2 linked regions of the Coturnix japonica genome follow. The protein of the gene in region 1 purifies or fractionates together with the protein of each later gene. This does not show direct contact. Links are inferred from orthologs where the notes say so. Each region holds a gene or a part of one and is shown in the gene's direction. Other genes may lie near its edges.

Region 1 (6,109 bases):
GAAAGACTCTTCTAGAAAAGGAAGTTCTAAGATGGCAAAGGACTCAAAACAATCGAAAAAGCAGAGTGAAACAAATCACCACAAGGGTCGGAAAGGTTCTTGCGATGAAAACTGGCAGTCTCCTACCAGGGTCCGAATGAAATCACCCAGCAGTGGGAAAGTCTTGAATTGTGTTGTTAACACCAATGATTCAAATGATGTTCATTCAGTGCCTAAGAGAAGACAAAAGACAATCCTTCAGATGCTTAAAAGCCCTGAGTAGAACAGCAGAACCACAGGCACACGGTTACGTTAATCGGAATGAAAACCATGGTAATGTTTATCCCTGTGTCAGGCCAGGCTTCAATTAAAAAAGTTACGGAATTGATGGTTTTGAGGGTTGGGCCGCAAGAGTGACCAAAACTGACTATTAAAATGTACTGTGAATGTTGTTGAGAAGTTTAAACACCTTACTCCTCTAGACCTTAATATTTAGTCCTTTCTCGACTATAGCTTCTTTTCTAGGACTTGCATTTTCAAGCTGTTTTTTTGTTGGTTTTTTTTTCACGCTGGAAAGTAAATACTGTTATTGTTTGAGATTCAAAGTAACTGATGGTCCTAGAACGAGAATTCAGAGCCTTTGGTGGGGACTGTGTAATCCCCAGAGGAAGCAAAGAAGTGTGTCTGTATCTCTGGTTGTCTGACTGTGAGACTGAGGCTTTACGAGGCACAGGCACTGTTCTGTTAAACCAAAGGGTTGTGTTAAACTGAAGGACGTGACTGGAATGTGGTTTATTTGTTGAATTGCATTGTTTGCCTGGCAGTTAACAGGATTGTAACCAGATAAGCTAGTCTTGCAAAGGCATTTTCCCTCTCTCGCATCCTCTCACAGAGTAACCCCTTTCTTAGGCAAAGGGGAAAGAAAGGATCATTCTTCCACAGTCAGAGGCAGGGATCTCTCATAGATGCCAATGGCAGAAATGGTTGTGGGCTCGCATTTACTTCTGTTCATTTTTGTTTTCTTGTTGTTGGCAGCCTGTAACTTACACAGTCTTGCCTGCATTTACTGCTATTTAACTTTCATGTGCAAACTGACTCGAGTCTGATTCTAAGCACCTAATATTCAAAAATTATTAGTGCAGGAGACAGTTATGTTGGAGAAAGTAAAACCAAAAGGGGGAAAAGCCATTCGAGTTAACAGTATTGACTGTATTTAACTTCCAGCTGGCGTTCAGCTGCTCTGCCTGGCTGTAACTGTTGCTCCGTTGTTATTATTTTCTGTCTTCCAGTTGAGTTTGATAGTAAAATAATTCAAAAGAATTTCAGTTTGGATGTTCTGTGGAGCTGACAGCTCCAAGTTGAGGCCTTGGGAGCAGTTTGTGAGCTGCTAGTCAGCAGGTAGCGGCCCTGTTACATAGTTCTCTATTTTGCTATTGTGGAGCCCAGCTTTTGGCTTTTCTTTGGATGCAGCGATATATTTCTCAAGTGTATGTTGTTGGATGAGTGCAGAACAGCAGCTGAAACCCGTGTGCCCTTTGCTGAATAGCAGACGTTCAAGAAAGTGCACTTTGAGGTGTTGTGGATGATCCGTAGACTTGAACTCAGCTCTAGGAAACTTGTAACAGATGTTTTTCACGTCACCTTGATGGCACATCTCTGCTAACGTTGGGTTCCTCCTCAATAAGTGGAGAATTCAAAGAGCCTTCTTGAGAAAGCTATTACAGGTGACCTGCTGCAAATAGTTCATTATCTCCCATTGCTGCCTCAGTCGTAGCGCTGGAAGCCTGTTTGTTATCGACCCCTTTCTGTGTAATCCTTATTTCAGTTTGCTTTCCTGTCACCCAGGCAATCAGATGGAATCCGTTGTTGATTACAGTGTTCTTCAAGGCAGAAGTACTGACTGCCTTCTGTGCTTAACATACTTTTCCTGTCACGATGAGCATGCAATAAGTAAACTCTATTTCCAGAACAAGCCGAGTTTTGTGCCTAAGTCTCAATCCAACCCCGTCTTAAATCATCCCACTTGCTGTATCCGTTTGATTTTTCACTTGTTAGTAACTCGATGCCCGTCCCTCTGGTGCCCGTTCCCCCTCACCCCCCCCTCACACAGCCCGGTTCCCGCCATGCCGCCCCGCCCCGCACGGCGGGGCCGAGGAAGGGCGCGGGCGGGTTTCGCGCTTGCGCAGTGCGCGCGGGCCGGCGGCGTGCGTGTTGTTGTGCGGCGGCGGCAAGATGGCGGCGCACGGGGGCTCGGCGGCCTCCGCGGCGCTGAAAGGGTTAATCCAGCAGTTCACCGCCATCACGGGTGAGGCACACGGAAGGCCGGGCCCGGCGCGGCTCCGAGCCGCTTCTCGCTTCGTCGAGCGGCCGGGATGGAGGAGGAGGTGGAGGAGGAGGAGGAGGAGGAGGGCCGGGCGCGGTGAGGCGGGGGCCCGGCGGGGCGGGGGGCCGGGCCTGTCAGCGGGGCGGCGGGTGGGCGCGGAGCCCGCCCCGGGAAACGCGGCTCCGGAGCGTCGGGCAGCAAGACCCGCCGGACCGACAGCGGTTCGGAGAGCGGGACGGCGGCCGGCACCACGGCTGGGATAAGGGCCCGCATCGCTGAGCAGCGTCCTCTGGAAGTGACCGTGCGGAGCATCGCGGGGTCGGTACCGCGCTCAGCAGCGGGATGCGGCCTGGACACGGGGCGTGCTGCGGGCAGCGAGCGGGACGGCACCTGCACACCGCAATGCTGCGGGGTTACGGGGCGTGGGATCTGCTGACAGGACCCTCGCTAGTATGAAAGATGTGTCTGTGCTTACAGCGTGCCCCGGTGTGTGTCTGATGTTTTCATTCTCAGCAGTGCCCCAAGCACTGAGAGCCAAGCAGAGCTGTGCTGTTCGCCCAGCAGCCCTCTGCTCGTGTAGGTGGGTTATGGAGATGTCTAACCCTGCTCCTACGCTCCGAAACAAGAAAACAAGAGGCTACTGGGCTCTGCCCGCCCACTTCTGAAAGAGGGGTTTGAGGTTCTGTCTTGTTGTTGTAATAGGATGTAAGGTTCTGTTTAGAAGGGAGTTCTTGCGGAGCTGTCTGACCCTGTGGCGCAGTGACAGGTGCTGCACTACACACCCTGTGTCGTCAGCCTGCACCTCTGGTGTGACCCTGCTTTCCCAGGGGTGTACACTGGATGCTCCAAGCCCTGTGGTGCTGTGTAAGTGCGCAGAGCTACCCATGTTTGTGTGGAAAAGGTGAAACAAAACCCATCCTGCCATCTGCTTCCAGCACACCTGATGGTGTAGAATCACAGAGTCACTGCGCTTGGAAAAGACAATATAAACATCAAATAGAGCTGTCAGCCCATGCCTACTCACCCATAGTCCTCAAATATAGTTCTCAGCAGATGTTTTGTGATGCTGGTTTCCTTAGGACTGAGGAAGATTTGGTACATATATATTCTGGTCCTCCTGAATGAGCAGCGCAGGGTGGCTGTGCTCTTCTATTTTGATTAAGGTCCTCAAGCACAGCCAAGTACCACTGAGGTGCTCTTGTGGCAGGTTGGTTTGCAGTGGGTTTGTTTGGAAAAGCAGTTACTTTGGTCGACCTGGCTTTCTTTGTGATGTAATGTAATAGCTCAGGTCATTTAGTGTTGCTTTATCTCAGCAGACTCAGTGTGTGTTCAGCGTATCAATCTGTTTAATCTAAAGCTCCGAGGACTTCCTGGAAAATCTCAGAGACACCCAATGGAAGCAGGTTAAATGTGTTTGCTCAGAGTGGCGTTAGCTGTCATTCTGATGCTGGGGAAATGGAGTTTTCTTCATTTCAGTGAGTTGTGGTGAAGCTGGTAAGAATTATTACAGACCAAAAGCTGCTCCCAAACTGGTTCGGCTGCATTTTGCCACTTTTCTTCTACACCAGCTTTTCCATATTAAAATAGACTCTTTGGCAGCCTCTACCTATAGAAACTTAGTGTAGTAAATGGGCTCTTAAAAGGTTGGATGCAGGAGAGATTCATTTGGTGAAGGTGCTTTTGTTGTCTGTGTGGCTTTGAGGAAGCTTTAGAGGCAGACCCTGTAAGGGAGAACAACTAACAATTAACTGAGCTTCTGCTTGTTTGTTTTTGCCTTCTGGAGCACTCAGTGAAACAGGGAATCTTTAGTTTCTATCTTTACATATCTGTTAGAGGTGGGTAAAAACCTTTGGCACTGGGTATAGTATTCTCACTGTTAAAATATTAAATCAGTTGGTTGTTTTGTTTTTTTCCATATAACACAATAGAAGTCAAACTTAATAAGCAGAATTTTCTCCCGATGGAAAGGGGAAGTGTGGCTGTTGTTTCCTTTTCCCTTGAGGTGCGTGTTTGTCTCACCTCATAGTTGTGCCTTAGGGATAAATGGCACCTGCTCAACTGCTCTAATGGTCAGTGCCTTAAAAGAGAAAGCTGGTTAGCTGTTCCCGTTGCTTCTGATCAGAATGCTTTACAAAGAATGCTTCAATATATATTTGCTTGGCATTGCAGGTGCCAGTGAAAGCGTGGGAAAACATATGCTTGAAGCATGCAACAACAACCTGGAGATGGCTGTCACCATGTTTCTGGATGGTGGAGGCATAGCAGAGGAGCCCAGCACCAGCTCTGCAGCAGTGTCTGCAGTTCGACCACACACCGAGTACGTACTGCATAAAAATGAGTAGTCTGTCCTATAAGTTTCATAGTGTAAAGACAGATCAGTTAAAACACTTGTTCTTTCTTTGGACCTTCTGTCATCTCAGTGTAACATGTGCTTCTTCAATGATCTCATTTAATTGATTGCTTTGATATTTTTCTTAATAAATAAGTTTATCTTGCTGCACAAGCTGGTCTCTCTTGAGTGTGCTTCAGAAGTTTTCCATTGCATGCACATGCTGTTGTTGCAGGCATAGCTCGAGTCATTGAAGTGAGGATCCAGTGAAAAGTGGGATCTTCTGGCACATCAGTAACTTAATATTCAAGTTTTTGTTGGAATACTTTCCTTTTTATACTGGACACCCTTCAGGTGCTGGTCAGCTTAGTTTTACTTCTAGGAAGAGAGGAAAATAAGTATGCAAATACAAAATGGAGAATAAATAGCTTCACAACAGCAATCAAAAGATGTGGAGGCTAGTAGTAAGGTTAGTGCATCTTGCTGGTTGTACAAGTTACTGTTTGAAACCAAAGTGCAGAAAGTGCTAGATCTTAATGCATAATGTGCTGCATCCTCCTTCAGTGCCTTGAGTAGGAGTAGAGGATTCCTTGAGGTCTGTTTTGACTCCAGATCTCTGATTCTGTGCCATGGTGCAGCAGTGTCCTTAGCTGGTCCAGGCTGCAGGTGCATTTGGAACACAACATTTCATGGTTTATTTAATACTTAAACATTACTGTCTCTGATTTTCCTTTTCTCTTTGATAGGGATGAAGTACGAGCTCCAATTCCACAGAAACAGGAAATTTTAGTAGAGCCTGAGCCCTTGTTTGGAGGTAGGCTTGCATTCCTATTTCATTCTTTGTTTTCTTTAAATACCTTGAAATCATCTTCATATGATGAGAAAAACAAAATCTCGTGAACACGAGGAAAGCAGTGTGCCTCTTTTTGTTTGTGTTTTTGCCTTATTGCAGCTCTTCAGCCATCTAACATGCCTGCATGCTTGGAAATATACTGATGATTAAAACCTTACGCATTAGAGATGCTGTATTCCCAGTGGTGTTAATTTGCTAACTCGTTTTTCAGAGGACTTCTCTAGGCACCAGCCAGTTAGCAATACAGAGTATACATCTGTGCTCTTGGGGCTCAGAACCATGTGATGCTGCTGCAAAAATGTTCAGACTGATAGGGTGAAAGCTTGGGATTTGGCTGACAAGTGAAAATGGAGAGAACAAAAATGCGTGTTTGTTGAGGAGATCCAGAAAGAAGGGTTGAGCTGCGTGATTGCTTGTCATTTTCTCAGTTTCTCCTTTTGGAATTTAATTTGCACTTTAAAGTGCATCGTGCAGCTCAATTAAGAAACTTGCCCTTTTTGTCAGTGAAAGACATGGAAATGCTCATCTTTAAAGTGATCCCATATCCATAGGAAATGTGTTTTCTGTTTAGTTCCTGTGCTAAAGAGGATTGTGAGGCCTAGATTCTGTTTTACCACAGAACTGG
Region 2 (5,279 bases), on another chromosome or scaffold:
CATGATGAGGAAATGACTGTTAAGGTCTTCAGTCCTTGAAGAAAGGACTCCAGAATGTATCTGGTTCAGCAGTTTTGTCTTAGTGTGAGACATCTGAGCTGGCACCACTAGCAGTGAATCTCCACTTCTTTATTCTTTCACGGGACCTAAAAACCCTCCCACTGTTTCTCATTTGATTCCTCTTAAATTTCGCTGTCTCTTCTAGTTGCAAAATCTCATGGGATAAGGGCCCTAGTAAAGAAGCCAAGCTAAGGGGATTCTGGGGATGCTCAGCACTTCCCCACAGCCCAGCCCATGGTGAGTTCTGCTTGCTGGGCCAAAGAGTGGTGGTGAAAGCTGAAGCAGAGGGGAGGGAGGCAGCATTCCCCATTCCTGTGGTACCATGGTTCAGCTGTAAGGGGCTGCGTGCATCCCGGGCAGCTGGGGAAGGTGTTGGCAATAGGTGAAGGAGCTGGACCCAGTGGAGGATGGCCTGACGCTTGAACTTTGTCAAACAGAAATACAGGCATGTTGACAACATCATGTTTGAGAACCACACAATTGCAGATCGCTTCCTCGACTTCTGGCGGAAGACAGGAAACCAACATCTTGGGTATTTGTATGGACGGTACACGGAGCACAAAGACATCCCTCTGGGGATCAGGGCGGAGGTGGCTGCCATCTATGAACCCCCACAGGTAATACAAGCTGTGTACCCAGGCGTCACTGTTGACTCATAAAGATAATCGGGGAACAAAGAAACACTTTTCTGTTTGGGTAATCTCATGCAGGGTTTCCTAGTGCAGCTCTATAAGGAAAAAAAGTCCCACGAGAATGACTTTTATGGCCCTCTGGTTGCTAATGTCATCACTAGTTATTGCCACTGAAAGAATGTTAAAACCCAGGTTAGCTTTTTATTATTCTTGCATCATCTTTTATGTTCCTCTGTTCTCTGATTACCATTTCCAAGGTTATGGTACGATTGAAAAACAAATTATATGCTAACAAAAAAATGGTTAGCCTTTGCTTTAATTTCTTACCAGCTCTCCAGGAAAACTTAAAGCAGCTTATGTAGACAGAAATCACATCTTCTGCTTTATTGGGTAACATTGGTACCTCAGAGTGGGAGCAGCTGAGTCCCCACTAGATGGTGCACGGCACCACCAAGTGCTTCCACAGCCCCGGCAGGTTCTGGAGTCCAACCTCAGCCAGCCCAAAAGCTGAGCTCTGAGTTACAGAGCTGCAGACAGAGCCTTTTGTGAGCTCTTCTACTTATTTCAAATACCCACGCAGCCATGCCCTCTGTTTTGGTCTTGCTGTTAAATTCTCACTTTGGAAGTTTGTGTAGTTTATTTGTGCATAGCAAAAGCAAGGAAGTTTTGCTTTGCTGGCAAGCAGTCTCTGCTGTGCTTCTTGGCAGAGCATCTCCCCACATGAGAAAACTCGCCTCTGAAGCACACTCAGATGGAGTTGTGTTTTCCAGGCCTGCGTGGCAGCCCCTGAATTCCCTGAACTTCTGCCTCTGTACTGCTCAGAGACTGCAACAAATGAAAGGGCAGGGCAGGACTGGCAGGTTGAAGAGAGCTTTGGAAAATTATATAATCTCTTGCCTTTTCCAAAGCTCTCAGAAGCAGCGATAGCCTGTTTGTAAGTGCTGAGCAAGAGTCTTTCATTCATAAACCCCTGCGTGGTTTGCAGGCCCACCCGGAGAGCTCCTGCAGGATGAGGCTGTGAGTAACAGAGGTCTCTGGAGTGAGAGCTGTCAGAGCTAATGCTGAAGGAAAATGCAGAACTGCTCTTCCATTCCCTGCCTTTCTCATGGTGATGGTTACGTGTGCTGTGTATTTTCCTGTTCTGTTTTACTAGCAAGATTTTCTTTGTGCAGATCGGTACACAGAACAGCCTGGAGATCCTGGAAGATCCGAAAGCAGAGGTTGTGGATGAGATTGCTGCCAAGCTTGGACTGAGAAAGGTTAGGATGGTGCTGGATATCACGTGTCTTTTGTATGGCAGTGAAGAAAGTCACCAGCAGTTCTCTTCAGCTCAGTGGGGCTCCTGAAGACCATTTGGGTTCATATGAAATCTAGCTTAAGTGTTGGTAGCTCTTACCCTTCTAGGTCTATTAAAGAAAGAAAAAAAGCAACCACAAATGTTTTTGTGAGGATGAGCATTCAGGGCTGTTCAGCTGCAGTCAGCAATCCTCTGTCATGAGTGACATCAAAGAGAATAGCAAAGAAGGAAAAAAACCACTATTTTCCCTTTATTTCTCCTCTGACAGGAGCTGTTCCTAGTAGCATCTCCCCAGCAAGTGCTAATTTGGCACAGCTGTAGCTGGAGTTGCCTTCTGAGTTTATTCCTCCTTCTGGCAGAATCTGCGTTCCGCTTCCAGGAGCGGAGGCTCCTGCTGGATTTTTATTCTCATCAGCAGGTCCTGCCTCTCAGTGCTGCTCAGACAGGCTGTGGCGAGCTAATCTGGATGTTGGCTGGAGGTTCAGGTCCCCCAGCATCTGAGCCTCAGTCCTCTGTTCCCCATGTGCCCGTGGCCTGCCAGTAATCCAATCAGGGCATACAGGCACTGGGCTCTGCTGGCTTGCTGACGTCTCTCAAACCTGTACCGATATATTTTTGTGGTTTGGGAAATCATTTGGTATCATGTGAATGCTAGGAATGAGACGTACACAAACAAGAATTGACTTGCTAAAGAACATGCAAATCAGAAGAGACTCGGTGCAGCAGACTATAAACATCTGTGGTGAGGTCTTTTGTTCTCTGAAGATAAGATCTTTAGCATTTTCCAGTGTCTGAACCAAAGCTTCTGTATGCGTTGTTTATTTCCATCCTTTAACTTTGCTTCTCACGCCAGATATTTTTAATCAATGTGATTTAACACGCAGCTTACTGCTGGGTGCAGGTTTTTGTCTGTCTGGGGTCTGCAGCATTGACCCTTCCCCTGAAGGGTTAATGCTTTGGGAGTCAGTCACGAGGGGCTGATCAGAGCTGTTTTTAGCACACGTGTAGAAGGGTTCATGCAGCGGTGCGTGTGTGTGTACACATCTATAGTCCTATGTGCAAACAATGCAAAAAGCAGGAATGTATTTTTTGGAACGGAGCGGGTTGATTTGGATTGAGTCACACTCCAGTGGGAGCATGTGAGCTTTATCTTAACTAGGGACTGCAGGCTTCAAAATGAGATCATGTGAGCTGCTTTGTCATCTGCTGGCACTTCTGATGCTGCTTTGCTCTGAATGCTCGATAGGAAATGCTTTTTGCTGTGGGTGGGAGGAGGTAGCGGCTGAGAAACCTCTTGCAGCCTCCAGATCTTTCCATGAAAAAATATTCCATAGTGAAACATAAAGCTGCAGGTGCCCCCGGCTGGCCAGCTGGCACGCTGCTCCTGGAAATCGTATTCAAATGAGCCCAGCACAGCTGGGAGAGCCATTTCCTTCAGGCAGCATGCAGCAAGGCTGCGCCAGGAGCCAAGAACATCTTGTCCTGCTAGGAGAAAATGTATAAGCTCTCTTCTGTGGGTTTGGGCTTCCTTTTTTTTTTCCCTTCTTTTTTTTAAAGCAGTTTTCTCCATAACGCTGCTTTATAGGTTGGCTGGATATTTACTGATCTGGTCTCTGAAGACACACGGAAAGGCACTGTTCGGTACAGCAGGAACAAGGTGAGACTGAAAGGTGTCACTCATCACCACCACTCGTATCGAGGGTTTGTCTCATCACCTGATTGCTGGCTCTGCCCAACACAGGGAGTCAAGGGCTGGGGGTGACACTGGGGCTGAAATTGTTGTGATGTGTGGGTTTCAGCTGCTGAAGGAAAAGGAGCTGGAGCTCTAAGAGCACCGTTAGAGGGGTTGTTGCTGTTTGGATAGATGGCAGAGCTGCCTGCAGTCCTTCACCTGTTCTGCTTTAAGAAAATTATGCTCGTGGTTTAAGAAAAATTGAGTGGAGAGAGAGTTTCTGTGTCATGCAAGTTCAGCAAGCAGAAGTGGTTGAGTCAGAGGATGTGGGCAGGGCTTTGTGAGGCATGTAGCTCGAGTCCTGAAACTCTGACCTTCTCAGTTACCTGTAATTCTGAAATCAGGGATATCCCTTTAGAAAATGAAACACCATAATAAAATGAGCCTGGAAAGGTGGGTGGAACCAAAAGTGGGATGGTCGTTCTGGCAAAAGTCAGGCTGATGGCTGGAGAGCTGATAAGTCACATTCTTAGTCTCTGCTGCTTCTAGGAAAGCTTGTTTTACTAGGGTGTTGGTAGTTTTCCTTGGCTACAGACCAGGGAAATGGGTCTAGGCTGCATCGTGTTGGCCTTTTTATTGACGTTTCTGCTCTTCCCTCAGGACACTTATTATCTGAGTGCAGAAGAGTGCATCACAGCTGGGAACTTTCAGAACCAGCACCCCAACATCTGTCGCCTTTCTCCAGACGGTCATTTCGGATCCAAGTTTGTCACAGTTGTGGCTACAGGTATAAACAGGTTTCAGCTTGCCCCAGCTCTCTTGATTACACACAAATGATCTTTTGTTAATGGAAGAGGAATATGCAGCTCTGCCAGAGGAAGTCAGTTGTCTTGGTCCCCATCTGTCCTATTTAACAAGGGCTTTGCCTTGTTCCATCAAGTAAAATACATTTTTGTTCCTTCTTTGTGTTATCTTCTTTTCAACTATTTACCCTGTCCCCTGCAGGAATCTCAGTTGATGCTCATACCTGGAGCACCCGCCTCTCTGCTCCAGAAAGCATTTTTTGCCTGCAGCTGAGGGAATATCTGTCAATTGCTTTTTTTTGTTTCACGTGTTTAATCTCCAAGTCCTGTTGCCTGAAAGCAGCAGTGCAGAACCACAACAATCCAAATCCTGAAAGTTATTCTAGGTGATTCAGCATAAAGGGGGGATCTCTGTCTCCCCCCTTGTGCTGCCGACAGGGAAACTCTTAACATAGGATTCCCTGCTCTTCTGTGCATGGAGATGTTTTTTGGTTGCCCCAGTAAAACAGAAGCCTGCGCTATGCTTTGCTTTGTCACCTCTGATTTTAGCCACCATCACAGCAAGTCTCTGAAGGTGATGGGCTGCAGGGTGATGCTGGCATGTGCTGGGAGAGTTGTAGCATTAGAAGCATTAGAAGTTCAATCTGTTCTTCTTTGTGTCTGTGGGATGACACACATGTATTCACTTAACGTTTCCCCGAGCAGATACACTGGGTCCTGGGTCTGTTCAGCACAGTGAAAAAAAACCATGACTTCCAAACAGCATCCAATATGAAAACTCAAAGTGTGATATTATATTGCCACTTCCAAGCTCA

Evidence for each region. The genes of interacting proteins can lie anywhere in the genome.
Region 2: the proteins of UBXN7 (region 1) and NPLOC4 purify together in Homo sapiens (affinity purification with mass spectrometry; 3 studies listed by BioGRID and IntAct, with this or other methods). This does not show direct contact. The link is inferred for Coturnix japonica from reciprocal best matches to the Homo sapiens genes UBXN7 and NPLOC4.

What each region holds. Positions count from the first base shown.
Region 1 is NC_029524.1:3,592,785-3,598,893, forward strand, and holds the start of UBXN7 (UBX domain-containing protein 7), read left to right. Parts: upstream 1-2,175; 5' UTR 2,176-2,211; coding exon 2,212-2,284; intron 2,285-3,326; exon of another isoform or gene 3,327-4,471; coding exon 4,472-4,619; intron 4,620-5,377; coding exon 5,378-5,445; intron 5,446-6,109. Other genes in the region: E3 ubiquitin-protein ligase RNF168, read left to right, coding at 1-262. UniProt on the Homo sapiens protein: Ubiquitin-binding adapter that links a subset of NEDD8-associated cullin ring ligases (CRLs) to the segregase VCP/p97, to regulate turnover of their ubiquitination substrates.
Region 2 is NC_029533.1:5,193,133-5,198,411, reverse strand, and holds part of NPLOC4 (nuclear protein localization protein 4 homolog), read left to right. Parts: intron 1-497; coding exon 498-677; intron 678-1,864; coding exon 1,865-1,951; intron 1,952-3,574; coding exon 3,575-3,646; intron 3,647-4,321; coding exon 4,322-4,448; intron 4,449-5,279. UniProt on the Homo sapiens protein: The ternary complex containing UFD1, VCP and NPLOC4 binds ubiquitinated proteins and is necessary for the export of misfolded proteins from the ER to the cytoplasm, where they are degraded by the proteasome.